Oryctolagus cuniculus: one gene and its partners. The protein of the gene in region 3 binds, or shares a complex with, the protein of the main gene of each other region. Links are inferred from orthologs where the notes say so. Each region holds a gene or a part of one and is shown on either strand. Other genes may lie near its edges. The genes, in order: KCNMB4, LRRC26 and KCNMA1.

Evidence for each region.
Region 1: the proteins of KCNMA1 (region 3) and KCNMB4 are in contact, whole or in part, in a cryo-EM structure (PDB 6V22), measured with the Homo sapiens proteins. The link is inferred for Oryctolagus cuniculus from reciprocal best matches to the Homo sapiens genes KCNMA1 and KCNMB4. Residues at the interface, in NP_001154824.1 of Homo sapiens: Phe98, Phe99, Leu102, Phe103, Leu106, Leu107, Arg109, Thr110, Tyr113, Leu114, Thr116, Val117, Asp238, Leu240, Trp241, Leu244, Pro327, Trp328, Asn330, Gln332, Leu367; in NP_055320.4 of Homo sapiens: Thr11, Glu12, Ala13, Glu14, Lys16, Ser17, Leu20, Leu24, Ile34, Phe35, Cys38, Trp39, His105, Thr164, His165, Val183, Leu186, Ile187, Leu190, Thr191, Ala194, Leu197, Ala198, Lys200, Ala201, Met204.
Region 2: the proteins of KCNMA1 (region 3) and LRRC26 are in contact, whole or in part, in a cryo-EM structure (PDB 7YNZ), measured with the Homo sapiens proteins. The link is inferred for Oryctolagus cuniculus from reciprocal best matches to the Homo sapiens genes KCNMA1 and LRRC26. Residues at the interface, in NP_001154824.1 of Homo sapiens: Pro78, Cys79, Asp80, Ser81, Arg82, Gln84, Trp88, Ala92, Ser93, Val96, Thr97, Glu155, Trp158, Met159, Ser161, Val162, Trp165, Cys206, Leu226, Leu227, Phe229, Gly230, Leu231, Phe233, Ile234, Asp251, Phe252, Pro256, Phe259, Val260; in NP_001013675.1 of Homo sapiens: Gly204, Cys205, Gly206, Cys207, Ala208, Arg236, Leu237, Ala249, Phe250, His252, Cys253, Ala254, Gln255, Leu257, Arg260, Asp261, Leu262, Val264, Val265, Tyr266, Leu268, Gly269, Pro270, Ser272, Phe273, Ser276, Leu277, Cys280, Leu281, Leu283.

What each region holds. Positions count from the first base shown.
Region 1 is NC_091442.1:72,991,646-72,994,875, reverse strand, and holds the end of KCNMB4 (calcium-activated potassium channel subunit beta-4), read right to left. Parts: intron 1,261-3,230; coding exon 1,092-1,260; 3' UTR 550-1,091; downstream 1-549. UniProt on the Homo sapiens protein: Regulatory subunit of the calcium activated potassium KCNMA1 (maxiK) channel. Modulates the calcium sensitivity and gating kinetics of KCNMA1, thereby contributing to KCNMA1 channel diversity.
Region 2 is NC_091432.1:237,465,814-237,469,550, forward strand, and holds LRRC26 (leucine-rich repeat-containing protein 26), read right to left. Parts: upstream 2,271-3,737; 5' UTR 1,652-2,270; coding exon 982-1,651; intron 906-981; coding exon 589-905; 3' UTR 513-588; downstream 1-512. Other genes in the region: TMEM210 (transmembrane protein 210), read right to left, coding at 2,444-2,627, 2,707-2,736, 2,842-2,977, 3,108-3,207. UniProt on the Homo sapiens protein: Auxiliary protein of the large-conductance, voltage and calcium-activated potassium channel (BK alpha). Required for the conversion of BK alpha channels from a high-voltage to a low-voltage activated channel type in non-excitable cells.
Region 3 is NC_091446.1:67,887,993-67,891,638, reverse strand, and holds part of KCNMA1 (calcium-activated potassium channel subunit alpha-1), read left to right. Parts: intron 1-563; coding exon 564-682; intron 683-3,646. UniProt on the Homo sapiens protein: Potassium channel activated by both membrane depolarization or increase in cytosolic Ca(2+) that mediates export of K(+). It is also activated by the concentration of cytosolic Mg(2+).

The DNA of each region.
Region 1 (3,230 bases), on a different chromosome or scaffold from region 3:
CAGCATCAGAGGTGGCAGCTTAATCCACTACGCCACAACTCTGGCCCCAAGGGGCAGGCCTTCTTAAGAACCACCTCCCTCTTTTAAATTTTATGTGATTTTATTTATTTGAAAGGCAGAGAGAGAGATCGATCGATCCCATCCACTGGTTTACTTCCCAAATGTCTACCAACAGCCAGGGCTACCCCAGGCTGAAGCCAGGGGCCTGGAATACGAGTCAGGTGACCCATGTGAGTAGCAGGGCCCCAAGTACTGGAGCCATCACCTGCTGCCTGCCAGGGTGTGCATTGTTATCAAGAAGCTGGAATCAGGAGTAGAGCCAGGACTCAACACCACACACTCTGATATGGGATGAGGGAGTCTCAAACAGGGTGTGGACTGTTGTGCCAAATGCCCGCCCCCATTCTCAGCTCTTAAGACGTGATCTAAGGAAAAGCTCTGGATTGGCAAAGGCAGGTGCTGGTAGATGCATTTCCCCAGCCTTTGAGGGTCCCGTGCTTATGAGACACAGAACTTCCTGGAGACCAAGTTACCAACACAGTATTCCTGTTTTCAAGCAGGAAGCAAAAGACTCTTTTTAATAATGGAACCTGAGGGTCATACAGTGAGGTCAAGAGTTCTGCGGGAATTCTCATTGTCAAGTAAAAGTTTAATCTAGCAGAATCAAATATAAACCACAAGGTTTTTTTTTTTAATCCTGGGTTCTAAGCATAAAAAAGGAAATAGAAAAGAACACAGACCACTCTATTTTAATATTTTAAGTAGCATAAATCATAATAGTTTGTATACTACACTATACAAAGAATATACTGTTACTTTCCAAAGAAATGAACTTCTTATTGGGTTTTCTGAAACAGTTACTCCATACAGCTCAGAACTTGACCCTTCAGCCATGGCGAGACACACAGAATACAAGCGATGAGGTTCCAAGGCTTCCACTGTGCCTGCTTCTGCTGCCACGGAGGGAGGAGCCTCTCGGAGACCTGTCGCGGCCCCCTCCGTCGCCTGCACCAGGAAACACGGGCTCTGCAGGTGGGCGTGTGCCAGCAAGTGCAGCTTCTGTGCTTTGTTCCCCGCGGGCCTGCTCCCCGTTACGAGAACTTGCGCTTCTTCATGGCTTCTGCCTTGACGGCCAGGCTCTTGGCACAGATGGTCAAGACCACAATGAGAACACCCACCACAAATGTCACCAGGGGCCAGAGGAAGCAGTGCAGGAGGACGATCTCATCGTGCGTGCGGTGCAGGAGCACGTCGTCTGGTCTGCAAGACAGTGGGAGGAGAGAGCGGTCACACGCTTTGATACAGCACTGAAAACTTACAACCTGCAGCCAGATTCGCTTTCCAGCCCCAAAAGGGAGACTCTTCATCGAAATCACAGATCTCACTCTGACTATAAATACTACATTTGGTGCTTTTCGCTCTTGAATCAAGTAATTGGTGCAAATGTGCAGATTATGTACAATATAATTTGCATGCTGCAAAATGTCAAAATTCTAACAACCTCATGCTGTTATATTCTCCTCCATTCAAGGTAGCTTATCATTTTCTACTTTCTCATCTTGCAGCATTCACTGGTCAAAGGACTTGAATCAGCCTATCAGTTATTGATGGGTAGACATTTGCCAACAAACCCAAACTAGACCTCAGCGCTTACATGAGGCCCAAATGATCTGAACTCAAAAAGAAAAGTCAGCTCAAGCCACTATTTGAATTGGTCAGAAAGACAGATGGTGTAGCCTTCAGGCCAACTCAGTTTTTTTATTAACAAGCAGACAATAGCTGGATTGAAAGCATGTTTTCATGTTTCTTCTTAAGCCACTGATCCTTTTCATGACAAATCTGGCAAAGTTTCAGCAATAAATTTTGATCTTGATCAATGTCAAATATTGACATAGAACCAGTATCTATTTTTCAATTCTGCATGGCCTCACGGACAGGAAGTGAAGAGGGAAGAGGTATGCCCCATAGGCCAAGGTCTCTCATCTTTGATGATTAGCAAGAGATCATGGCGCTTAGCTTTCCCATAAGAGGTTTCTATTTTGCAAGAAATTTCCATGATATCTGCAGGAAGGTTTGGTCTGCTACATGAGGGTAGCCATACTTCTTCCAGAAAAAGAAGAAAATAATGCAGAATAATCAGTCCAGTTGCCTGCAAGAACATCAAAGACTCCAGAGTCCACGGGACCTGCATTTAACAGAGAAATGCATTCCTGAGGAGTGTCCATTAGTCATAGCTCTCAGAATTCAGAGTCTCTTTTCCCAGAAGACTGAAGAAAGATGCCGAGTATTTCTGTTGTGCCTCCAGTGGCACTATCATGTGGCATTAACAGCAAGAGTTTTGCAGACTGGCTTTGAAATTACCTAATCTTTGCATTTTTTAAATTCTGCACACAAAGTGAGATGTCTATTGATACTTTATTTGACAGTATTTCAATTAAAATTTATATAGAGTGCAGAGTCATGGTAACAATTAGATAAAAATCACCCCAGCTTGCAGAAATTACCCCATTTTCTGAACACCTGTCTTCAAGACTTGGGCTACCATTAATTTATGTGTATATATGAATGCATATATCCATGTAAAGATTCATAGGTGTGGGGAGCAACTCGGACTAGACTAAGTTACTGGAATTAAGACTTATTCTATGCATCTGCTCTCCCACAATATGGCACTGAGAAGGGAGTAACAGCTTCTACACAGCTGCCTCCAGTTCAACCAATAAACTGTAGGACCTGCTCCTGATTGGAGGAGAGCAGCGTACTCGGCGTGTGGGTAGCAGAGTTGGGATTGGTGGAAGAGGACTATAAAGGAGGAGAGAGACAACATGCACCAGGAACATCTATCTGAAGGAACACCTGTGCAGCCCCCGAGAGAGCCGGCCAGCGGTGTGCCGCTCCCCCGCAGAAGTGGGGAAAGTGGCTAGGGGGAACCGCCCTTCCACGGAGGTGGAAGGGACGGTAGCCAACCCGGGAAGAACCAGCAACAAACCCAGGAAGGGCCAAGCAGACAAAAGAACAGCGCAGGGTCCTGTGTCATTCCTCCACGAAGACGGGGAGCAACAACATAATGGTGCCGTGACTCGGATATGAAGCCTAGGCAGGGTTTAGTGTTGCTCCTCCACGAAGAGGGGGAGTGACATAATGGTGCCGTGACTCGGATAGGAAACTTAGGAGAGAAGAAGCGGGAAGAAGTGGGAAAATACCGGAGAGAGAGATTAGCAAAGAGCCTA
Region 2 (3,737 bases), on a different chromosome or scaffold from region 3:
AGAGCCCAGCCGGTTGGGCAGGGCCGCGGGCGCTCCAGGAGAGGCAGGGCCCCCGGGGTCTCTGAGCAGTGGGCCCAGGCCAGGGGCTGGGGGGCGTAGGCCGGCAGCCCGTCCGTCCCAAGCCACCAACCACCCTGAGCCCCAGTGGGGGCCCACGGCCCTGGCTGGCCGCTGCAGCTGAGCGCCACCTTCTCCCGCCGGGGCCACCCCTGCCCGCGCCACTTCTTCCCCTCCCCGACGCACCGGCTGGCCCTGCCTGCCCTGCCCCCAGGGCGTCCTGGCTCTGCCGCGGGCAGCCGCCTCCCCAGGCCTCCCCCTCCGGACTGCGAGAGGCTGAGCCTCCTCTGGGCCGGCTGCCGGGACCGGATTCCGCAGACGCCGGCTCAGGACTGTCTTCAACCCTGCCCCGCACGCCCGCCGCCTTGTACAGCATCAGCCCTCCCCGCGCGGCCCGTGTGCCCCCCGCCCCACGTGGTGTGCAGTGGTGATGCCTAAAGGAATGTCACGACATCTCGGCCTGTGTCGCTTGTTGGCGCTGGGCAGGGGCGGTGGGGGGAGAGCGGGGGTGGGGCTGGGGGGGGCGCCCGCTCAGGCCTCGGCGGGGCTCCCAGCGTTCGCTGGCGAGGCTGGGCCGCCGGGGTCGAGGTCCAACGATCTCCTTGGCGGGCGGTGGGCAGCAGTGCGTTGGCGGCGGCGGCGACGCGCGCGGCAGGCGGTGAGGGCGGAGCCCAGCGCCAGGCAGGCGGCCAGGCTGGCGAGGAAGGACGCGGGACCGAGCAAGTAGATCATCGCCAGGTCGCGCGGGGAGAGCGGCCGCGCGCAGTGTCGGAAGGCGGCGTCGGGGAAGGCGGCCAGGGGGCTGCGCGCCAGGCGCCCCGGCGACACGCAGACCGGCGTCTCGGCTTCTGCGGGACACAGGCGGCGTCAGGCGGCGGCCGCAGCTTTGCCCGAGCCGCCTGGCCGGCACCCCGCACGGCTCACCTGATGCGGGCCGCGGGTGCCGACGCAGCCAGGTGCAAAGCGGGCGCAGCGCGCAGTCGCAGGTCCAAGGGTTACCGCGCAGGCGCAGCGCGTCGAGGGCTGGCAGGCCGGCCAGCAGGCCAGGCGAGAGCGCGGACAGCGCGTTGTCCTGCAGGCTGAGCGCGCGCAGCAGCGGGAGCGCGCCTAGTGCTGCAGGCTCCAGGCGCGCCAGCCGGTTGCCCGCTAGCGAGAGGGTGCGCAGCGCGCGCAGCGGCCCGAAGGTGCCTGGCGCTAGCGCCTCCAGCCGGTTGGCGCTCAGGTCGAGCCGCTGTAGCGCGCCCAGGCCCCAGAAGGCGCGCGCGTGCACCCAGCGCAGCTCGTTCTCGCGCAGGTCCAGCCGCAGCAGCGCGTCCGCGTCCGCGAAGGCGCCGGGCGGCAGCGAACCCAAGCGGTTGTGGTCCAGCAGCAGGGCGCGCACTCGCCGGCTCAGGCCCGCCGGCACCGCGGACAGCGCGAGTGCCGAGCAGTTGGCCTGGCCGCCTGGCGCGCACGCGCACGCCTCGGGGCAGTCCGGGGCGCCCGAGACCCCCGAGGAGGTAGCCAGGGAGGGCGCCTGCGCGCAGACTTGCCACGGATGCAGCAGCAGCAGCAGCAGTGGCGGCGGCCACGAGGAGAATGATGGACTTCGCATGGGGGCAGTCGGGGGGGGGGGGTGCGAGGCGGGAGGCCTGGCGCCCCTGCGTCCTGGGAACCCGTCCCTTCGGCGCCTGCACCAACACTAAACTGACCGGGGCACCCGTAGTTCCTGTCCCAAGCCTGATCCCGCGCCTGGGGCGGGGGCCAGGCTCGCAGCCAACACCCAGCACCGCCAGCCACCTGTCCCGGAGCTCCGGGCTCGTGACTCTGCGCCAGCCGCCGCGCCGACCAGACCGGCCCCCGCCCCGCTCGTCCACCTCCGGTGCCCCCAGCGTAGACCTCAGCAGCAGCGCTGCACCCACCAAGCAGGCGGAAGTTCCGCGGAGAATGCGACCCAGTGCCCCTCTCAGGCTGAGCCAAGCGGTGCCCCCCAGAACGGACGTTCCCACCCAGTGAGCCGGCTGGTGGGGGCTTGAGTTCAGGGCACAGGCACTGCGATGGAGGGGGCGGTGCCCCCCCCGCGGTCCCCAGGAATCCCGGATCTGGAGGGGACGGTGTGGGCGCGCAGGAGGGACTCCAGCCCAAGTCCTGGGCCAGGTGTCCTTTTATGTTTCCAGCTGTGGGTCCTGTGTTGGGGGGCAGAGGGGGGATGGGATGGGCAGGGCCCCAGGATCCCCAGACTTCACAGGACAGAGCCACAGGAAGGAGCTGGGGACTCCTGGGGGGGGGACCCTGCCCCGGGCGGAGATAAAGGTGACCCTGGCTATGGGCGCGGCACATGTGGGGAAGCCAGCAAGGACAGCGCCACCACTAAATACCATTTAATCCCCTCCCGGCAGCTAGGGCCCTACTCAGGGGGCGGGGGTGGGGGTGGGGGCGGGTCCTCCAGAGAGGGGTCCATGGTCAGGAGGCCCTGGTCCTCCAGCGGGGTGATCATCGACACCTCCATGTCGGGGTCCATGAGGTGGGACTCCACGTGCACCGTGTGCAGGTCCATGCGGTCCTCCTGGACCCCGAAGCGCCCCACCAACCTGCAGGACGCGGGTGTGGTCAGCGCCCCGGGGCGGTGCTGTCCACACTGCAGGCTCCCTGGCCCGCCCCTGCACTCACCTGCTGTCCACGCGTCCCGGGCATGTTTCACTGAGGAGAGAGGCTGGGCGTGAGTCCTGAGCCCCGGCGCTGCCCCCCGCGCGTGCACACCGAGGGCCTCACTCCCCCGGCTCCCAGCCCCAGGGGCCCACGCACCCCTTGGCTCGGAAGACGCCGATGGCCACGATGAGGAGGGCGCAGAAGCAGCTGGCGCTGACGCCCGCCAGCACCACGATCAGGGCGATGAGGGCCTCCCGGCTGAGGCCCAGGCTGCACTCGCAGTAGGTTCCCGCTGCAGAGACAGGGCCGTGAGGCCGAGGCCCGGTCACCTGCCTGGGGAGGGCCTGGGTCCCCGGCGGCCACCGGAAGGACACAGCGTGCCCACCCTGCGGGAGGGGAGAGCCCTGGCTGGGGGCAGGCACCTGCAGCAGGGACGAGCCACAGGGACAAGCCCAGGAGGCCCAGGGGACTGCCCAGGGGACTGCCGGCCAGGCAGGAGTCGGGCTGGGGACAGAGGGCCATGTCCAACCCCCAGCCCCACCGCACACCTCTGGACGGAACTCGTCGGAAGGCGCTGACCTCACAGTGGGGCTGTGAGGCCGGGGGTGGGGGGGCAGGGTCACTCGTCCCGGAGTGCCAGGAGGTGGCCCTGGGAAGGGGCAGGTAGGGTGGGCCTGGGGCCCCTGCTCAGCTCTGAGGCAGAAGCAGTGGTGGGGAGCGGGACGCTGCTGCCTGAACCCCGGCTCCTGGCACGGAGGACACAGGGGCCCGGCAGCACCAAGGCTGCGTGGGGGGGGGGGGGGCTTGGCGTTCAGCTGATGACGCGGCACTGCCTCCCCCAGGGCTGGGGCACAAAGGGGCCGAGGAACGCACTTGTGCCTGGCTGCCCTCGTGAGCTACTGCCGGAGAGTCCGAGCCACACCCCCAGCAAAGGCCAGGGCTGGACGGCTGCTTGCACCCAAGGGGAGCCCAGCTGCCGGGAGCAGGCCCCAAGCCACGCCCTCCCCCAAACACCTGAGAGCAGGAGGCTCAGGCGTGGCTGCTGGCACCAA
Region 3 (3,646 bases):
ATTACAACTGTGAATCCCAGCTCCCGGGGAAACACATTGTCTTCCATCCCTGCAAATTGTGCTTTTCACACAGTCCCTCCCTGAAGTTGTCTGTCACCCTAGGACCTGGTGGGGTCTTTTCTCCTCCTAGTGATTTCCATTAGCACTCAGCCTGTTTTGACAGCAGGAGCTGAGCACCAAGGCCACCATTGAGCTGGGGCAAAGCCTAATCCCCGTGTTGAGGAGCCAGTCTCGCCCCCTGCCCCATGGAGGGTACCTTAGAGACCTTCCACCCTTACCCCTCCCTTACAGTGAGAGGCTGACTCCTCGGAGCTCTCATTGCTGCTGGTAGAAAACGGGTGCGACCCCAGAGGAAAACTGCATTATTTTCTGATCCCTAAAATCCCACTGGTTGGGTGCAGGCTGTTAACCACGTTGGGTTCTTTGGCCACGGTCCCTTGACACAGACTCTGCAACCCGGCAGACACCAAGACCAGCTTTTACAGATAGGTTCTTCACCCCCTTGGAGCTCCACGTGCAGGCACGTAAAAATGATGTTTCTCTGTTCTTTCGTTGTCTCCCAGGACGGCGGTTGTTATGGTGACCTGTTCTGCAAAGCTCTGAAAACCTATAATATGCTTTGTTTTGGAATTTACCGGCTGAGAGATGCCCACCTTAGCACCCCCAGCCAGTGCACAAAGAGGTGAGTGTGCCCACTCTGCTCTCCCACCTAAGTGCCCCTTGCTAGCCCCGACCATAAAGGCAAAGGACCACGTAGGCACGCGCTTGCAACATGCAGATCACTGTGGCCACCTTAAATCACCCTGAGGTGGGAGGTTGTGGGAGACATTTCTCTTTACTTCTAATAGCTGGATGTAAAAGCCTTGTGGCAAGAATCCAAGTTCTGTAAAACAGTTCGCTTGCCCAGTTACAGAAGTCTCCCAAACCCTGGCTACTGGATAACCTCTGTGGGTGCCTAACAGAGCTATTTCACATCGCTGGTGTTTAAGATAAATGGTTCCTTTGCCATTTCTTAGAATCCTATATGCTTTACTGTGCATATTTTTAATTGATTCACATTTTTACTCTTATATATTTATTTTTAAGAAAATTGTATATTATCACCCTAAGCAGACAAATAACAGTTTAGGCATGCTGGTTACATTTTTTCTAATATGCATTAAAGTAAATTCATAGCAGGCAAAAATTAAAAGTGCATCCTAGAATTACTGAAATCAATGAGTTTGCATAATATACCCCAGGAAATAATGCCATAGAGAAGAGTGTTTCCCAGCTCTGTTTGCATTTTTTAATCACCTGGGGAGATTTTTAAAAATACTATGTTTACCCTGATTTAACTGGTTTGGAGCAAAAAAAAAAATTGCAAATGAGAATACATCAAAAGGTTCATGGAAAATGGAATTAAAATCTACGTTTATTTTGATGCAAACAGTTTTTTAAATCATGCACACGAGTATGCACACATGTGTAAAAATAAATAAGAATTACATCTATATGATGCCCAGGAATTGCGGAGTACAGCCAGAGCTGGGGGCCACTGCTGTCTGTCAGTGGGTTCTCACAGTTTAGGGCGAGTGAGCATCTCCTGAGGACCTTGTTGAAACAAGAATTGCTGCGCTCTGCCCTCAGAGGTGACGATTGAAGAGGAGTGAGGGTCTCAGTTGGGTGGGCTAAGCATTGGCATTCTTCACTTTGTTGCTTGTGTCCTTTGCCGTGCAATAGCTTCTTAGCATCATGTAATCCCATTTGTCCATTTTTTCTTGTATTTCCCAAACTTCTGGGATCTTAGCCAAGAAGTCTTTGCCTAGGTCAATATCTTGCCGTGTTTCTCCCATGCTTTCCTCTACTAATTTGTTGGTGTCGGGACTTAGGTTTAGGTCCTTGATCTACTGTGGGTTGATTTTTGTGTAGAGTGTAAGGTAAGGGTTTTGTTCCAGACTTCTGCATGTGAGATTCAATTTTCCCAATGTGATTTTTTTTTTTCTTTTTTGGAAGAGACACTGTCCTTTTATCAGGGAGTGAATTTAGCTTGTCAAAGATTAGTTCTTGATATCTGGTATTGCAATGCCTCTGGTTTTATTTTTATTGTTTAAGATTGCTCTGGCTATTCAGAGTCTTTTGTGTTTCCGTATGAATTTTAAGATTGTTTTTTCTAGGTCTAAGAAGAATGTCCTTGCCATTTAATTGGGTTCACATTAAATTTGTAAATTGCTTTGGGTAGTATGGACATTATGATGATATTAATTCTTCTAATCCATGAACATAGAAGATTTTTCCATTTTTTGTGTCTACTTCTATTTCTTTCATGAGTGTTTTGTAATTTTTCTTGTAGAGATCTTTCACATCCTTGGTTAACTTTATCGCAAGTCACTTAAATTTTTTGTAGCAATTGTGAATGGGACTGAACTTACACGTTCTTTATCAGTCAGAGTACTATTGGTATATAATAATGCAACTGATTTTTGTATGTTGATTTTGTATCCTACAACTGTGCCAACTTCTCTTATGAATTTCAAGAGCCTCTCAGTGGAGTCTTTTGGTTCCCTTACATAAAGGACTATGTTATCTGCGAATAGGGACAATTTGACTTCCCCCTTTCCCTGTATTCCTTTAACTTCTTTTTCTTGCCTGATGGCTCTGGCTAAGAGGCAAGCAACACAATGGGAGAAAATATTTGTACACTATGCATCCGATAATGGATACATATCCAGAATATATAAGGGGCTCATGAAACTCAAACATCAAAACAAACAGCTCAATTAAGAAATGGGCAAAGGACATGCACAGGCATTTTTCAAAGGAGGAAATACAAATGGTCAACAGATGCATGAAAAAATGCTTGGGATCACTAATCAATAGAGAAATGCAAGAAAAACAGCAATGAGGTATCTTCTCACCCCAGTTAGAATGACTATCATCCAAAATATCAAAAAATAAAAAATGCTGGTGAGGATGTGCAAAAAAAAAAAAAAAAAAAATGCCCTAATCCACTGTTGGTGGGAACATGAATGAGTACGACCATTAAGGAAGACAGTATGGAGATTCCTCAGAAAACTAAAGATAGATCTACCACATGACCCAGTTATCCTACTCCTGGGAATACATCCAAAGGAAATGAAAGCAGCATTTGAAAGGGTTCCCTGCACTCCTGTGTTTTTGGCAGCTCCATGCACAATGGCTAAGATATGGAAGCAACCTTAGATATATTTTAGCTGATAAGTGAGTAAAGAAAATGTGGTATGTATACCTGATGGACTATTACTCAGCCATAAAAAGAATGAAATCCTGACATTTGTAGCAAAATGGATGCAGTTAGAGAACATTTTACTAAGTGAAATAATCCAGGCCCCAAAACAAAATACAATTGCTTTTTTTTTGTGGTAATTAACATATATAGAGAAGACAAGATGTCAGATCATTTGGATTATAGTTATAAATGTTACTTCACTGAGTCATAGCATGTAAATGACAATATATTCTTGTTTCACACGTTGAGAAAAAGAAATGGAGTGGACAGGAGTAGTAAGGACTTTGGGGGAACTACTAATGTTGTGTTCCTAATTTGGATGTTGGTTATAAGGGTGAGCAGATGACCAAAAACTCATTGATCTGTATACTTAAGTGCCTTTCTTGATACATATGCTGC